Linked DNA regions of Arabidopsis thaliana. The protein of the gene in region 2 purifies or fractionates together with the protein of the main gene of each other region. This does not show direct contact. Each region holds a gene or a part of one and is shown on either strand. Other genes may lie near its edges. The genes, in order: GAMMA CAL1, AT3G03100, AT1G16700 and GAMMA CAL2.

The links.
Region 1: the proteins of AT3G03100 (region 2) and GAMMA CAL1 fractionate together in Arabidopsis thaliana (co-fractionation; one large-scale study listed by BioGRID). This does not show direct contact.
Region 3: the proteins of AT3G03100 (region 2) and AT1G16700 fractionate together in Arabidopsis thaliana (co-fractionation; one large-scale study listed by BioGRID). This does not show direct contact.
Region 4: the proteins of AT3G03100 (region 2) and GAMMA CAL2 fractionate together in Arabidopsis thaliana (co-fractionation; one large-scale study listed by BioGRID). This does not show direct contact.

Annotation. Positions count from the first base shown.
Region 1 is NC_003076.8:25,422,237-25,426,395, forward strand, and holds GAMMA CAL1 (gamma carbonic anhydrase like 1), read left to right. Parts: upstream 1-1,730; 5' UTR 1,731-1,817; coding exon 1,818-2,199; intron 2,200-2,729; coding exon 2,730-2,810; intron 2,811-2,999; coding exon 3,000-3,376; 3' UTR 3,377-3,635; downstream 3,636-4,159. Other genes in the region: AT5G63500 (transmembrane protein, putative (DUF 3339)), read left to right, coding at 1,224-1,433; AT5G63520 (F-box/LRR protein), read right to left, coding at 4,064-4,159. UniProt on the Arabidopsis thaliana protein: Involved in complex I assembly in mitochondria and respiration.
Region 2 is NC_003074.8:704,859-709,391, reverse strand, and holds AT3G03100 (NADH:ubiquinone oxidoreductase, 17.2kDa subunit), read left to right. Parts: upstream 1-1,694; 5' UTR 1,695-1,813; coding exon 1,814-1,905; intron 1,906-2,285; coding exon 2,286-2,312; intron 2,313-3,089; coding exon 3,090-3,181; coding exon of another isoform or gene 3,182-3,185; intron 3,186-3,460; coding exon 3,461-3,570; intron 3,571-3,669; coding exon 3,670-3,828; 3' UTR 3,829-4,011; downstream 4,012-4,533. Other genes in the region: XPO1B (exportin 1B), read right to left, coding at 1-16, 328-426. UniProt on the Arabidopsis thaliana protein: Accessory subunit of the mitochondrial membrane respiratory chain NADH dehydrogenase (Complex I), that is believed not to be involved in catalysis. Complex I functions in the transfer of electrons from NADH to the respiratory chain.
Region 3 is NC_003070.9:5,707,760-5,712,559, forward strand, and holds AT1G16700 (Alpha-helical ferredoxin), read left to right. Parts: upstream 1-1,864; 5' UTR 1,865-2,102; intron 2,103-2,205; 5' UTR 2,206-2,252; coding exon 2,253-2,306; intron 2,307-2,721; coding exon 2,722-2,800; intron 2,801-2,900; coding exon 2,901-2,954; intron 2,955-3,064; coding exon 3,065-3,156; intron 3,157-3,236; coding exon 3,237-3,350; intron 3,351-3,448; coding exon 3,449-3,516; intron 3,517-3,627; coding exon 3,628-3,739; intron 3,740-3,839; coding exon 3,840-3,935; 3' UTR 3,936-4,284; downstream 4,285-4,800. Other genes in the region: AT1G16690 (Enhancer of polycomb-like transcription factor protein), read left to right, coding at 61-126, 251-289, 391-471, 574-621, 716-766, 881-949, 1,052-1,288, 1,403-1,612; AT1G16705 (p300/CBP acetyltransferase-related protein-like protein), read left to right, coding at 4,710-4,756. UniProt on the Arabidopsis thaliana protein: Core subunit of the mitochondrial membrane respiratory chain NADH dehydrogenase (Complex I) that is believed to belong to the minimal assembly required for catalysis. Complex I functions in the transfer of electrons from NADH to the respiratory chain.
Region 4 is NC_003074.8:18,033,281-18,037,541, forward strand, and holds GAMMA CAL2 (gamma carbonic anhydrase-like 2), read left to right. Parts: upstream 1-1,654; 5' UTR 1,655-1,826; coding exon 1,827-2,220; intron 2,221-3,116; coding exon 3,117-3,493; 3' UTR 3,494-3,761; downstream 3,762-4,261. Other genes in the region: IDN2 (XH/XS domain-containing protein), read left to right, coding at 1-9, 99-335; AT3G48675 (egg cell-secreted-like protein (DUF1278)), read left to right, coding at 912-1,271; CXE12 (alpha/beta-Hydrolases superfamily protein), read right to left, coding at 3,906-4,261.

The DNA.
Region 1 (4,159 bases), on a different chromosome or scaffold from region 2:
TTTCTCAAAATGTTCGTGAGACAGATAACGGCAAGAGAGAAAACGACGATTTGTGAGACGAGAAAGATTACAGAGATTCTCCCGGGAAAGTGACGGGAAAATGTAAGAAAATTAGAAAGCAAGAAATATTCTGTGATTTTTCTCTCTGAAAAACACGTTTTATTTTGCGATTTTCACCCAATCGGATTCTTTGATTTCGATGCTCTGTCGAATTGGACGATCGCTACCTTTTTTTTTTTTGGTCTTTGCTTTTTTTTTTGGGGGGGCAATATATTGATTTCTTATATCTGGTTATTGACACTTATATCCTCAATATTTGAGAACTATGACAAGTGGATCAAAGATTTGTTTCTCATTTGGCAAAGGGTTTTATCGTCATTAGCTATTTATGGTCATTATTACACACGAGTTGATACTTTTTCTGGATTTTATTTTTTATATGTTGATTATTGGATTTGCCTTTTACTCTTTCTTCTTAGCATTTGGATTTTTTTTTTTCCTTTTTTTTGGACAAATTGGATTTCGTCTAAGACAGAAAATTCAAACTGATTTTTTCTTAAAACAGGTTAATTTAATTAGGATATTAAAAGTTCTGTGTTCTATCTGGATAAAAACGTGTAGACTAAAAACAAAATGAAAATAAAATATCCATTCTGTCTCATTTTCAGTTTCTTACAATGTATTTAAGGATTTGTTCCATCCATGGTTGTGAAATCTGTGTGAACCAAAAAAAAAAAAAAAAACAGAAATTTTAATATTCAAACTTTATATTAATTGTTGAATATTTCAATGTTAAAAACAGTGAAATGAATCAATGTCACAACAGTTTTGACCAAAAGGAAAAAGAATTGGTGTCACAACAATTTTGACCAAAAAAAGAAAAGAATTGAGGTCACACTCACAACAATAGTCAATAACCAAAGCTACTTTAGCTTCATGGATATGGACCAAACATAAGTTATGAATTATAATACTGGGCCGAAAACTCAAAGCCCATATGTATAAGATTCACGTTGTTCGAAATCTTTTCCCACTAAACAATAATTTTATAATTAAACCTAAAGTATGTCCACGTGGATACCATCAATTGGTTCACCACAGCATTAGCTTTCACATCACACGAGAAGCTTCGTCTCTAACTAAAACCAAAAATACTCCAGCTCCTTCACCACTCTCTATTTCTCTCTCCAAATTCATTTCTTCTCTCTTTAAGACAAGAAGTTATGGCGGATTGGGGCCCAGTGTTGATCGCCGTGATCCTCTTCGTAGTTCTATCGCCGGGGCTTCTTTTCCAGATTCCGGCGGGAGGTCGAGTTGTCGAATTCGGTAATATGCAGACGAGTGGCGCTTCGATTCTCGTTCACGCCATCATTTTCTTTGGTCTCATCACTATCTTTACCATCGCCATAAACGTCCACATCTATTCCGGTTAACTGTTTAGCCAGACAAACCGGTGCTGCTTGGTTTTATTTCAATTTGATTGTAAGGTCTGGATTTGTTTTGTTTGTAACATTTTCGGATTTGTGAATATAATCAAAATTTCACCAAATGATACAACATCCAGTTTTGTTTTTGAATCTGGTATCAATCTGTAGAGTTTGTTTGGGATCTGGTTTAATTTGGTTTTCAAATGCTACTTGACACCTAATGTACATCCACCTAATAAGTGAAACGACGACGTTTTACTATTATTGGGCCTGTGGTCCGTTAAAAAGCCCAATATGCTGTATCTCGTTTAATTTCAGGTGAATCTTTCGACGACCACTCTCTCTCTTTTCCTCTTTGCAAATCCTTGAAGAAATCCAAAATCCATAGCAATGGCGACTTCGATAGCTCGATTGTCTCGGAGAGGAGTCACTTCTAACCTGATCCGTCGTTGCTTCGCTGCGGAAGCGGCGTTGGCGAGGAAGACAGAGTTACCTAAACCGCAATTCACGGTGTCGCCGTCGACGGATCGTGTGAAATGGGACTACAGAGGCCAACGACAGATCATTCCTTTGGGACAGTGGCTTCCGAAGGTAGCCGTTGATGCTTACGTGGCACCCAACGTTGTGCTGGCTGGTCAGGTCACAGTCTGGGACGGCTCGTCTGTTTGGAACGGTGCCGTTTTGCGCGGCGATCTCAACAAAATCACTGTTGGATTCTGCTCGAATGTACAGGAACGGTGTGTTGTTCATGCCGCCTGGTCTTCCCCAACAGGTTATTGCTTCCTTCCTTCCATTTTCAAAAAAAATTGTGTTCTGATTATCCAATTTTTTGTATGGAATCAAGACAATGTTGATTGGGATTTAGGGGTTTTCATTGTCCATTTTCAGTTATGAAAAGCTTATTGAAGAGTCGAGAACTTATATGGACAATTAAGTAAATTGGTTCTGCATAATAGTGTTCTCTCGAGTACAGATTTTCTTGCTTGAAGAATCGTCCAGTGAACTGTGGCTGTGGCTATTGTTCTTACTCTTTTGAGCATAATGAGTTTTAACTTCGCCGATTATGTGTGTGGAAACGTGTTGTTCTTTAGGTGATTAGCATTACAGGAATCAAGAAACTAACTGAAGATTGAGCTTAATATTGAGAGTTGAATAGATTAGCGTAGTACCACACACGATCATCTTGTGTAGTAGTAGGAAGTTTCTTAGCAGAAATTTGGGAACAATGTCTCGATAAAAGGATTTTGGTTTTTTTAATGACTTATGCAAGGATTTGGTTTTCTGGTCACTCGTGACTGGAAGTGGGATGCAATGGTGATAAAGCTGTATCACATGGATGTGAACTTGTTTTTGCTCCAAGGTTTAGACAAGGGAAGTTTTCAAGTAAAAACATTTGAAGAGTGACCATTCTGGTTTGATAGGGTCTGCTGAATTTTATTTGACCCGGAACAGTATCTATTCAACTTGTCACATTGATGAAACTATTTGTTTATCTTTCAAGGCTAAATTTATATCTTGGTTCTTTTTTTACATCACAAATTTGATTCTGGGGTATCTATTTTAAAATTTCAGGATTACCAGCAGCGACAATAATCGACAGGTATGTGACAGTAGGTGCCTACAGTCTTCTGAGATCATGTACCATCGAACCAGAGTGCATCATCGGTCAACACTCAATACTAATGGAAGGCTCACTGGTTGAGACCCGGTCAATCTTGGAAGCGGGTTCAGTTGTGCCGCCAGGAAGAAGGATCCCATCAGGTGAACTATGGGGAGGCAATCCAGCAAGATTCATTAGAACCCTAACCAACGAAGAAACCCTAGAGATCCCAAAACTCGCTGTAGCCATCAACCACTTAAGCGGAGATTACTTCTCTGAGTTCCTACCTTACTCAACTGTCTACTTAGAGGTAGAGAAGTTCAAGAAGTCCCTTGGGATCGCCGTTTAGAAGCTTCATCTTTTTCGTGATTCACTTTCATGTGTTTATCTATCATATGAGGTCTTTCTCTCTGCATATTGCAATAAGTAGCTGATGAACATCAAAACAAGTCCGGCTCTCTTTTTTGGTTCTAAAACGTTTGTCATTTCGTTTTTTGGGTTCTTTGTAAAATTCCATTTAAAACTGATTTTGGCTGAATATTGTCTGAATGATAATGGCGACGACTTCTGGTTTTGTTGTTGTGAGCAATTAAACAAAACAAATAACTAAACTAAATGGTTTTTCGTTATTTGGGATCACTAAAAGGAACATTGTGTAGAAGAATTAATTATACAGGACTTGTGACGTTTTATTTGACAGAATGAAGAACGTAGGTCAAACTAAAATTATGTAATGGAATTTACTCAATATGGGTTACATTTTGAAAATCTTTAAAATTCTTCCGTTGCTTGTAGGTTATAAACATATAACTCATGTCTAATTAATTCGTAAATCAACACCCTTTTGTTCTCACTCTATAAATTCAAAGTTCCTGCACATAACCAAATCATCAAAGTGAAAAGAAGCAAGAAAAATAAGAAAGAGATAAGATTAATAAGAGATGGAAAGCAAAGCAAGAGTTATTGCCTCCTTAGTCCTAGTTGTAGTTAACTTATCATTCTCTTAATAAGCATAAAACAAACAGACACCTTAATATTAAGATGTATACGAGACAATAAGATATACCGAACTATAAACGTGAAGAAATCTTTGGATGCTCACTTCTTTCTTTTCCTCTCCCTCCTCCAAGAT
Region 2 (4,533 bases):
TATCCGCAGAAGCTCTCTGCAAGGTGTTTTCAAACATTCTTATCTCATTGAAAGCACACATATGCAAACATCGTTTTTACACACAAATTACATTGTTTAGTGTTTTTCCAGATAACAAGAACAGCCACAAACAATCGAAACCTATCTCTAACCCAGGAAAAAGAATTAAGCAAAACTCATCCAATTCGTATCGCAAATACTAAACCCTCGCCTAACCCCCAAATCGATAGAACGCATTAACAGTGAATAAGAGACCGCTTAATGTGGTGGCGATACTCGTTCATCGTTAAAATTCTCAGAGAAATTATGATAAACAACGGGACTCACTTCTTCCTTAGATCCGGTAGAGTAAAAGGCCTCAACAGTGGCATCGAGTAAAACGACGTCAATCGGCTGACTCAAGTCTCTTAACTTCTCGGCAGCCATGGCGGAGAGGATGCGCAAATTCTAGAAGAAGAGACTCGATACGAGAGTGAAATCAATGGAGGGAGACAAAGTTCGAGAGAGAGGGAGAGAGTTTTTTTTTGGGTAGAGCGGTACGGAGGAGAGGCAGTTTAAATATTGAGAGAGGTTTTTGAAAGACAGCTTAAGATTGACGCAGGCGACGCTGAGAAAAAGGCCTGACTTCTAATTTTGTTTTCTCTTCTTTTTTTTTCGTTGACCGCCTCAGGGTTTGAATTTGTATACTCTACAGTCTACGCTACTCAAATATTTACTAGGATTGTTTATTTTATTCAAAGATTTACTTTAAGGAAAGATTATTATAAAATGAAATGCAATCATATAGATTAATCAAATTTCCAACACTTTTTGAGGTTTTACAAAAAAAAACATTATTAAGTTTTATTTTTAAATAAGCTATATTCAATCACTAAGTTGTAGAACTTTATTATTTTTATTTAATGATGTTCATTATTAGATTTTGTATGATATTATTATATAAAATAAAATTGAGTGTTTTTTTTTTTTTTGGATTTATGTATTTATGTCATATTATTATGTTTGCATTAATTAATTAATAGCATTTTCCCCAAATATTAACTTTACTTTCTTTCTTTTTTTGAACACGGAACTTTACTAAGTAGTAGTATTCATTTGATCCCATGAAATCTAAGCTAAGGAGTAAGCTTGGAAAAACCTTAACAATAGGAGATCTATCATTATATTGAAATCGAGTTTACCATTCGTGAAGATATGATTATAATACGTTGTGTACTCTTAGCTTGTAAAATGGCTAATGGGATTTACTAAGAGAGGAAGAGAAGTGAACTGTTAATGTTATGATCATCAAATGCTTTGAGGAAAGTGGGAAAAACAGATTTAGCTATGAAGCTAATGCATAGCAAATTGGAATGCGTAGTGTTAAAACTTAAAAGGCCTTTTTTTTTTTTTTTTTGGGTTTTATAATGCGTAGTGATTTCCTTTTTTTTGATAACATATACAAAATGAATTTCCTTTTTTTATTTTTGAACAACTCCTTATGAATAAATACACATCATCTCTTCTTATTCACTGAGAAATCAAAATTACAACCCTATGAATGTATGATCTAATGCTTTGAGGAAAGTGGGAAAAGCAGATTTAAATCTTGTATTTCTTGATATACCAAATCATAGTAGAAAATGTATATTCATATGCTTCTCTGCCACATCATCATGGGGAAGGCCATAGCGAGCAAGTGGCCCAGGTAAACACAAAGCGTAGCCCAACAAATACAAAACGATGCGTTTAGCAATCGTCATCATGTCCCTTGTTATTTCGACAACGAAATCAAATCCCGATTCCGAGAGAGAGAGAGCGATAGCGGAAGACGATGGCTTTGACGGTGGCGAAGAGTGCGTTGGAGGCGATTAGAGAGAAAGGTCTCGGCGGTTTCATGAGGATGATCCGAGAAGAAGGCTTCATGTTAGTTCTCTGTCTCTCTTTTCCAATCTCTCTTCCTCTGCTTAATTTCTTCAGGATTATACCCTCGATTTCATTAGTTAGATCCCAAATAATCTAGAAATTTACAAGAATTTTCGGTGTTTGTTGAAGTTTGTTTGCAATGAATGGTTATCATTCTTCGGTTTTTTTCACTCAAATGTTAAATTTTCTTGATGTGAAATGAAAATCAAACACTTTGTTTTTGGTGAACATCAATTTTGAACGGTGATGGTGATGCTTGAAATTGGCATAATGTTTCTGGTTGCTTATAAGTCTAAGATCTTATTGTTTGTATTCCGAGGTAATCACTAGTTTATGGAATTTCTCTAATTGCTTCTTTCAATTTTTTTTCTTCATTGCAGGAGATGCCTACCAGATGGGAACCTCTTGTAAGTAATTTATCTTTGATAATTAGTGCTTAGTGTTTCACTTCTTTGTGGATTACGAATATGATTCAAGTGGTTGTTCAAGAGTTCTTTACAGACCAAGTTCATTTTCATATTCTTATATGTGTATGTTGTTGTGTGAGCGAACATAATTTTGTCAGATTCATTATACTGTGAACAGAGCTCGCCAATTCTTGAACAGCTTACTATTCTTTGACTTGGACTGCTGATAGATGTTATGTTAGTTGATTTTGGAGTTCAGTAAAGAAACAGTGACAGTAAATGATGGTTGGTATTCCAGAGATAGTGTAGTTACATGTTTGAAGGAATTGACAATATTATGCCATAAGGCTATTCAAGTTGATGAGGAATAAGAGCTCAAAGATTGGTGAGGCCTGTTAATGGTGATGAAATTGGCCTACAAAGTAGTCTTGAAACTTGAAAGATCTTAAGAGTCAAAATTTATGTGCCTCTTTCACCAAGTCTATAAGCTGGATTTGTCGTTCTCATAGGCTCTAGATAGTTGGTGCATTTGGCTGAATATAGAGAACCTTTTCCTCAGATCATTTCTTTATGCGTAATATACATATAACATATACTTAGTGTTGCTTCTATGTTGTGTATTGAGATGTTGGAAGCATGTATATATGGGTCACATAGTATATACACAGTATGCTTGAATATTGTGTCTTATTAATAGTTTCCCCATTCTTTATATTGTAGCTTGCTGTTGAGTCGTATTTTCTGATCAATACTGTTTTATTTCTATATTTGATGAAGGCAAACTAAAATACATAACATAGGAGCGACACTTGTTGGTGTTGACAAGTTCGGTAACAAATACTACCAGAAGCTAGGCGATACTCAATACGGTATGTAGTTCCTTTAACTTCATGTTTTACCTATATAAAATCATGCTTTAACCTAAAAAAATTGATGCCACTGTAGGATTCATGATATTTGTTACTAAATATTCAGGGAATAACCCTTTTAATATTGACTTCAAATGTTTGTTTATTCTGAGTGGTACAGTCATGGAAATTGTAGCCACTCACTCAGCATTTGTTATTTGTTAGCTCACTGCATGTATCTTAATAGAATGTTTAGTCAAGAGGCTTTTACATTGAAACAAGCAATCACTTTGTGAACAGGTAGGCACAGATGGGTAGAGTATGCTTCAAAGGATCGTTACAACGCATCTCAAGTACCAGCTGAATGGCACGGGTGGCTTCATTTCATCACTGATCACACTGGCGATGAGGTAAAACCAAGAGCCATTTCAAATTCGCTGTCTCGTTCAATCAATAGATAATATATTGCCTTGTAACTTGATAATAAATACCAATGTCTCTGTTTCAAGCTCTTGAGTTTGAAACCAAAAAGGTATGGGCTTGAGCATAAAGAGAACTTCTCTGGAGAAGGTGATGCATACATCTACCATTCGAAGGGACATACCTTGAACCCGGGACAAAAGAACTGGACTCGGTACCAATCATGGGTACCCACCAAGACTCAGTAAGAAGATGATATTTTGGTTTTACGCTCTGCGAGACTTTCTCTCGAGTGATTTGTTGTTTTGTTTCTGTGTCATTTTAATAAAAGCTGTCTTGGATCTAAAGCTGGACAATTGGGTTTCGGATCTGGAATTGTAATTGTTACTGTGTAATAATTTGCTGATTATTAAGTTTCTTGTTTCTTCACCTCTGGCTAGGAAAGTAGAAAAGTTCTAATAAGTAGAAGTATTTAAAAATATATTAATCAAATAACTTCATCGAGAAAAATATCTTTCAAGATTTTTTTTTTCTTCGAAAATCTTCAAAGAAAATTGAATACAGAGTTTATGATCTAAAAACAAAAAACAAAAAAAAAATCTTCCAACAAAATCTTAATACTATTAATACATCTAAATGAGAGATTTTTCCCAAAACGGATTATGATAACCAGATAAATCGAACGCAGTGCCAGCAACAAAACGTTTTTAATGGTAATTAAAAATTTAAACGAGATCAGCACCACGTTTTTTAATTATCCTTCTTCTGTCGTTTTTATGGTCAACTTTGTTATAAAAAAAAATTATAATCTTTCTAAACAAAAAAAAACGAAACTGGAATTTTGATTAACAGAAACATCCAATATCAACATTTAATTGGTTTTACAATTTAAAAACAAAAAGGGTTTCACAGTTTGACTCTCTCTATTTATGCTAACACACTATTAAGACTAA
Region 3 (4,800 bases), on a different chromosome or scaffold from region 2:
TCAGAGGCAGAGCAGGACATTTACATTGTTCTTATTGTGCTATTTCCATTTTTTTTACAGGCGCTGAAATATTTGTCCATCAAATATGGAGTTTTCCACGCTATATACAGTTATTGGAAAAATAAGGTTTGATATAGTTGTCGTATAGTTTGATGATAATTGATTTTTTTTTTTTTAATGAAAAGTTGTTAATGGTTCTTTGGGCATAGGCTTAAAACATTAAGTAACTTCGACTTTTGTATTCTTTTAGCGTGAAATATGGCAGAAGCCTATCTTGCGGCGTTTACAGGTATATCATTTGGACTGGTCTCAATCTTACATGTGGAAGAAATGAATTTATTCTGAAATGTACTGAAAATTAGCTACTCTTGTGTTTTTTGTTTGGAACAGCCTCCACCACCGGTCAATGATACCAATCCGTACAATGTGTTTAGGCCACGGGAGAAAGCTCATAGACTACACGCAAGAAGAGTAGGCTGTCTTGTTGTCTGTGGTTTATCAATTTCCTTATCTTACATGTGTGAGTATGGAAAATGCACCATAACTTACTAACAATAGTTGACCTCACTTCAGATGCAGCAGAGAGAAAACAATGCGCAGTCATTTGAGAAGCTGCGACAGGTAAGGGAAGACCTGAATCTGTGTTTAACTTCTTAAAATAATTCCTGGATTCTCAAACGTTCTTCTCTTCTGTTCTGGGATATGTTATTATTAGGTCAGGCGCAATCTTGACCAAGCAAAGACCATTCTAGAAGCTCTTATTAAGGTAATCTAAATGACATCTATATTTTGTGACTTGAATGTAATTTTATTGATATCTTAAGAGATACCTGCAGACTCCATAGGTATTAACTTGATTAAAAACATGTTATCTTTATAGAGAGAAGAGAAAAAGAGGGATTTCATGGCGAGTGAGGTTAGCCTTCAGAGAATCCAACTGAAATATAAGGTAGTCCTCTACAACCTGCATCGAGTGTTCTTTTGTTACCAGAAAGAGTTGTGCATTTCGATCTCCTCTGATTTTTTTTGTGGGGTTTTGATATGTTTGCAGAATGAAACCGAACTTTTGGAAGATAGTTTGGCTCTGGCTGGGTTTCCACTCTCTACAGCTTACAGATTTGGCTCAAGCGAAGATGAATTCATGGACTCCGATGACCCGACCACCACCCAAACATGTACAAGGCCTTCCTTTACCCCTCATCGTCGTTTCACCGACTCAAACCTCGCTCGAGCTCAAGCCGGGAGCATAAAGCAAGAGGCGAGAAGACTTGGATGGCTCCACAAACTGGTAATTCTTCAGAACCTCTGTATTTGAAACATTTGAGACTATTAGGTTACTACATTCTGGTGACAAGATAAAAAAGAGAGAATTACGTTCACTGTTTATGTTGTTTCTGTGTAGAATCCTAATGAGCCAGTTATGCTGTTCACGAAAGCATTGGTCCCCGATAAACTGGCTGCTGCGGGAATCATCCCTCCATCAGATGCAAGAAGTGGAAGAGCTCGGTTTCAAGGAAGAATGGGTAGAGGCGGTCGGATTGTATTTGATAGATGGAATCCTCTAAACCAAGCCCACATTAACTGTGGCAACACTCTCTACATAGCACCATAACATCTCAACTAGTTTTCTTCTTCTTCATTGTAAAGAGTTATCCCCGTTAGTTCCTCCCCAGTGGTGGTGAAGATTGTCACCAAAACACTTTGTATCTCCTCTAAATTTTGTGTAGTCTTTGGTTTTCCCGGTTTATTGATCAATCTCGGCTACTTTGTGAACTTTAGGTCCGGTTAGTGACCATTGATCAGGTATTAACTTTTTTCAGCAATGGTCTAGTTTGGTCCACGTCTTGAGAACCTGGATCCTGAAATGTGTGAAACTTGGAAGGAATTGACTGTCATACCAAATATAACCGGTTTGATTGCCCGGTTATGAGCTGAGTAAGTAGTTAACCAGAAGGGTCAATTTGTAAATTAAGAGACATCTGATCGAATTTTGTTCCGACGACCGTGAATCACCAGCAAAGGATTCGTGTCAATGTTCTTGTGAGATCGAACTTTCTCTGGGTTCGTGCAGAAGCTTTGCTTTTTTGAGTATCGCGTTTAAGGTTCGGATGGAATTTTAGGCTTTTCGTTGGTCATTCTCTTGTTCAATGCTTCTTTTGCTTGATTAAGCTTTTCAGCTAATCGGATTTTCTTCTCTCACATCAGGCACATCGAAGAAGAGAGACCCTAATTTGATATTTTGAGTTCTATCGATGGCTTCGCTACTAGCTCGCAGGTCGTTCAGTGCTCTCCGAGCTCGACATCTCGTAAGAATCTCGTAGGCTCTTCCATTTTATATCGCTTATATTCCTAGAAATTTGGAATTGCTGCTAAGTTTTTTGAAATCACTAGTTGGTATTGTCTGCCCCGGCCGGCTCTAGGCATGTGCAAGTGGTGCTGCTATACATGTTTTTGTCTTTTTTTTTCCTGGGTATTGTTCCTCTATGCATCTCTTTGTATTGCGTTGGTACATCAATCGTGAAGCTTCATTTTTCCTTTAGATCATATACTCTTCCTTGAAGAGAGAATGTATCGCCTAAATGTTGTTATCTCAATCTCTGCAAATATAAATACTTTAACTGAGAGCGTCGTGGTAGTTAACTTTTACTTTCAATAGCTCTTTTGGTGGCTATGCTATGGAATTCTTCTCGCATTTAACATCTACCTTGTCTTTGTTGATAGGCTTTTTCAGGGCAAGGTTTACAGGGATCTCATCTCTGTGGGCTACAGTCCCGTGCTATATCTTATGGAAGCAACAAAGGTATAAATTTTGTTGCTTCCATTTGGGTTCTCTTGGTTAATTTAGGCTATGACTTTTCAGGAATATAGGTTACTAATCCTTTGCCTCTGGTAATATGTAGATGATGAAGAAGCTGAGCAGCTTGCTAAAGAGATCTCCAAGGACTGGAGTACTGGTAAGCTATTTGATCCAGACACTTTTCAACCTTTCTATTCTCTTAGCATTCCTTCCTGATTACTTCCTTCTGCGAGTCTTAGCGATTCCTGATGTTTCTTACTTTTACAGTCTTTGAACGGAGCATGAACACCCTATTTCTCACTGAAATGGTCAGGGGTTTGTCACTGACCCTCAAGTACTTCTTTGATCCAAAAGTTACAGTGAGTGGCTGTCTCCCTTGACTCTAGTAATTAGGCTGAAAGAAAAATATTCTGATTCTCAAGTTTTATCTTTTGTGCAGATCAATTATCCTTTTGAGAAGGGTCCATTGAGCCCTCGTTTCCGTGGTGAACACGCTCTTCGAAGGTATCCAACTGGGGAAGAACGCTGCATTGCCTGCAAACTCTGCGAAGCTGTGAGTTTTTGAAGTCTATGCTACTCGAGAATTCATACCACAGCACAATATTGACATAAAGTGTGATTTTTCATGGATACTGGTCTTTTGCTCATCAGGTATGTCCAGCTCAAGCAATCACAATAGAGGCAGAGGAGCGGGAAGATGGAAGCCGCAGAACCACTAGGTCACCCTCTAAGTTCCCGTTTATTAACCATATATATATTATTTAATACTGTCTTGTCTCTATGGTTCTTCTATATATTTCGTAGTGTAGTGATTGTTCGGAGCTGTACAGGTATGATATCGACATGACGAAATGCATCTATTGTGGTTTCTGCCAAGAAGCTTGCCCTGTTGATGCAATCGTGGAAGGACCAAACTTTGAGTTTGCAACCGAGACACATGAGGTCTGTATAAACAATTCAGAAAGACATAAGATTGCCCATGATCTTAAAGTTAGATGTGTATTATTCGATAAATGACATTCTGATTCTTTTTGGTGTGCAGGAACTTCTGTATGACAAAGAGAAGCTTCTTGAGAATGGAGATAGGTGGGAGACAGAGATTGCAGAGAATCTGAGGTCGGAGAGCCTCTACCGCTGAATATTGATCCGAAAATGCCTTTTGCCTAATTCTTAAGGAAACGTTTTCGTTTGCTTCTGTTACAAATAAAGATGCTTCAGCCTTTGCACTGTTATTGCTATCTGTATTTCTTGAGTTCATACCGATGGCAAAATCAAATTTGGCTTTGTTTCCGGTTTGAGCTGGACCGTGCGGTAAATGGATTATGATATGATTCAATGGTGTTGTTACTCTCAGTGTCGGTCGGTCAAGTGTCTAACAAAAAATTGCTAATATCTGAAGAGAACATTAATGATGTAAAATACAGAGAAATACAAGGGTAAAATGGTAGTTTAATAGACTGGCATGAACATGCATAATTGCATATCTAGTAAAAACCTCTGATTGGCAGAAACTCCAGCTCAGGAACTTACTCTATTTGGAATTTCGTCTTAAATTCGCTTTCTCATCTTCTTTTACTTCTCGGTTTCAAGATCTCTTTCAGAGATTTCTCATTTTACTTATCCTCCTGGCTTGCGTGAGTTTAGACGTGCGACATTGTTTCTTCATCGTAATCATAGGTTACGTTTTCTTGATCTCGTAAGGAAGAATCTTCCTCACTAGGCTCTGATCTTTGCGGTGGAAGATTGCTTCTTTCTTTGTGTATCAAATTTTAAAGTTGGATTGAAGTCCTAGGTTTTATCATCTGAGGTTTAGATGTATCTTCTTTCTTTGCTTATGCTTGGTTTTACTACTGATTATGATTATGCTGGTTAATTGGTGTTGCTTTAGGGATTTCACGTTACACTTGCTCCCATGGACAATGATGTTTTCCAGATTCGCCGGTCCATGCGAGACGCTATGTAAGCCTTCAATTTTTCACATTCACTCGTTCCTCTTGCACTCT
Region 4 (4,261 bases), about 17 Mb from region 2:
AGAGAAGTGGTAAGACCGCCTTCTTGACTCTGTTTGTTATGTTGAATCTCTCTGAAAGATTAAAAAGCTTTTTTGGTGTTGTTGTTAATTGTGTTTAGGAAGTGATAGATGATAGAGACGAAAAGCTGAGGGAGCTAAAGGCAGATTTGGGAGATGGTCCTTACAATGCGGTCACGAAAGCTTTGTTGGAGATAAACGAGTATAACCCGAGTGGAAGGTATATTACAACAGAGCTATGGAACTTCAAAGCAGATAAGAAGGCTACACTTGAAGAAGGTGTCACTTGTTTACTTGATCAATGGGAAAAGGCGAAACGCAAGCGTGGAATGGCTTAGAGGTTTAACCATTTTTGATAACCGAACAAAAATATGTTTTCATTTGCAATTGTTATTTGCTAATATAGGATTTCGATTGATGGTTTGCAGCTGCAAGATGATGGACATGGGACTGAATAAAAAGCCGATGCGGTTTTTAGTTGCAGAGAAATGTGTTTGGTTTGACCAAACTTTGGTGGATTCTGTTTGTTTTTCTTCTCAGAACTTAGTGAATAATTGACACAACTTTGATGTCTTGCATCGGTTCTTTTCATTGTAACATTTGTAGGAGTTTGGCCGCTTTGGACAATAAGAAATAAAAATATCATTGTAATATAATTCACATGTAAAACAACTAGATTTGGCCTCTCTTCTGTCTCATATCTTAAGCATGTCATTTAGAACCTTTTATTGTAAAAACAAACTTTGTCATGAGTTACTTTTTGTAGTCAAATTTGATATTGACCCCTTCCTTATTATGCTAACACTGTTTTCATCTTATAACCCTATAAATCTAAGTTTCGTGAATATAGCCAAAATCATCTACATCATTGCAAAGAACCTTAAAGGAGAAAGAAGAAAACCGGCTTGAGAGAGATGGAAAACAACTCAGGAGCTATTCTCTTTGTGATCTTAGCTATGACCATTGTTCTTCAAGTGAGGCCAGGGTTCTCTCAAGCACTCCCTACGATCCCCGGACTTTTCCCACCGGGTCTTCCTATTGATATCATAAAATGTTGGTCATCTCTCTTTAACGTCCAAGGATGTGTACAAGAAATCTACAAATCGATATTTTCTGGTCAGTTTGCTAGCATTGAAGCCCCATGTTGTAAAACGTTTTCAGCTATAGATACAAACTGTTGGCCACATATGTTTCCATTGAACCCATTCTTCCCTCCTATTCTCAAGAACAACTGCGAGCGTATTGCTACGACTCCATCATCAACACACAAGTGAAGGCTACACACAAATGTTGCGAGCCAGTTGTTAGCTTCGAGGTTTAAGAAGTTCTTTTATCGATTTGAGAGATCACAATGCCCAATAATCCAAAATTCTCCTTGCAGTAATTTTTTTTTTTTTGTAATCTTTAGCTTAAAATAAACAAAGCTAAGCTTTTTGATGTACTCGTATGTGTTTGCCATGTAGTTTGTTAAAAGAGTGGTTATAACATAAACAAAATTTTGTTTGCGTTTATATATGAAAATATTGTTCTTACACTATGGAATAAAACATATTTCAGCATTTAAAATTTGTAAAAACGACGAACACGAACGCATATCAATACCATACCAAAAAGATTATATCGTACATGAAACTTGTTGCAGACAATGGCATGACTAATGGGCCTCTATTAACTTAGCCCATAAGGCCCAATAAAACTTTCCAAATAGTTTCATTTTTCAGATTTTGAAGAATCTCCCGACGACTCCTCTCTGTCTCCTCCTCCGGGAAGCTTTCTGTCTCTCTCTCTCTCTCTCTACACAAGACCTTGAAGAATCCGATTCCATAACAATGGCGACTTCGTTAGCACGAATCTCTAAAAGAAGCATAACATCGGCTGTTTCATCGAATCTGATTCGGCGTTACTTCGCCGCGGAAGCAGTAGCGGTGGCGACGACGGAAACACCTAAACCGAAATCGCAGGTGACGCCGTCGCCGGATCGGGTAAAATGGGACTACAGAGGCCAGAGACAGATAATTCCTCTGGGACAGTGGCTACCGAAGGTAGCTGTAGATGCTTACGTGGCACCTAACGTTGTGTTGGCTGGTCAGGTCACCGTCTGGGACGGCTCGTCTGTATGGAACGGTGCCGTTTTGAGAGGAGATCTTAATAAGATCACCGTTGGATTCTGCTCAAATGTCCAGGAACGGTGTGTTGTTCATGCTGCGTGGTCGTCGCCTACAGGTTCTTGTTCTTTGTCATTTTTTCGGAATTTGAGTCTCTGTATGGTTCCATTGTAGCTTCTAGTTTGAGTTCTGGATATCCAATTGCTGTAGTTACTGCTTGCTAGCTAATGGAATCATTGATATTGGAATTTAGGGTTTTCATTTTCATCTTCCATTTTGATTATGGAAAATGTAGAGTCTCACCTTTAAGGAGATTTTACACTTTTATCTGAAGTAGTGAAGTGTAAGTAAGCATATTTGTTTGGAGTGAAGATGTCCCCAGATCAAGAATCATGAATGATATTTGTTCAGTAAAGTTAATCTTCAGAGCATTTTGCGTTTAGCTAGACAAGGATGCATAGAATTGCGTAGTTCTTTAGGTGATTAGTGATATTGGAAGCAAGAAACCCATTGATGATATGTGCTTGATTTTAAAATTTAGGTAATTCAGGGGTTGAATAGATTAGCATGGTGGAGACCATCTTGTTTAGTTGTAGAAAGTTGCCTAGCAGCTCTGGAGAAGTTTCAGGAACTATGTCATAGTAAAGATTTTTAGTTATGCGGAGAGAATTTTGCAGAAAGTTGATATTATATTCAGTGGTTGGAACCGAGATTCTGAAGCTGCGTCAAGCTGAATGAACATAAGCGTCTTTTAGTCTTACCAAGGTGGATTCCGTGTCAAAGTCTTTAGTTCAACAGCCTCCTGGTTTGATTAAGCTGTAGTTTACAACTAGTACTTAATTACTTGATTCACCATTTTTTCGGGTTAATAGCTCTGTATTATCAACCAGTCTTCATGCTTTTTCTATACTAACATCTTGAAGGATAGAGCATACTGTGGTGCTGCTTTTGAATTTTGATATGATAGATAAAAATCTGATCTTAGAAGATACTTTCTACTTTGATTTTTTTCAGGATTACCAGCACAAACATTGATCGATAGGTACGTGACAGTTGGTGCATACAGTCTTTTAAGATCATGCACTATCGAACCAGAATGCATCATCGGGCAACACTCAATCCTAATGGAAGGTTCACTGGTCGAAACCCGCTCAATCCTAGAAGCTGGTTCTGTTTTACCACCTGGCAGAAGAATCCCATCTGGTGAACTATGGGGAGGCAATCCAGCAAGGTTTATTCGAACACTCACCAATGAAGAAACCTTAGAGATCCCGAAACTTGCTGTTGCCATTAACCACCTAAGTGGAGATTACTTCTCAGAGTTCTTGCCTTACTCAACTATCTATCTAGAGGTTGAGAAGTTCAAGAAATCCCTTGGAATCGCCATCTAGAAAGCTTCTTCCAGGTTTCTGGCTACTTCCCTCATTAAGAAAGCTTCTTCGTTTTCGGAATTTGATCTGAATAAGTAGCTGCGGAACAAGAAAAAGAGCAGAGCTGTGTTTCAAATGTTGTCTTCTCTGTTTGTTTTGTTTAAGTTCATATCCTTGTGTTCAAACTTTCTATGAAGATGATAATGGTGAAAACTGGAAAGTGTAAAACTTCTTTCGTCTCCCCTCACAATTGGAAAAGCTAATAATCTCGTAGTGTTATAGAATTAAACATCTCGTACTAAAATATTTTCATCTTCAATTTTTATTGTGTTGCTTTGGGCGAAAAGCCAATCACTGAAACATTACAGAAACTGAGAGACGCAACTAAAATATGTAGTACCAAATTATTCCAATATCTCTAGAGAGCACAAAGCTAGTTCCCTCCCTTAATAAACCCTGAGAATTTATGCATGACTTCAATAGCATTATCACATTCAGGTTTCAACAAATGAAAAACATGATCTTCTCCTTCACTCTCCACCACTTCAACCTCTCCTTTCCAACCAGACTTCTCAAGCTTAGCCGCGTAACCCCAACCCTGCCTCACCAACGCATCTTTCTCAGCCACCATTACCAAAACCTTACCACAACCCAACCCAGACAAATCCACCGACTCTGATTGCACCACGTTGAGCAACGGATCATCTGTTCCATCTTTGCTATTAGGACTTGCCATCATCCAAAACGCCTCTATCTTCATCCTCAACGTTTCATCTTTCGTATCCTTCT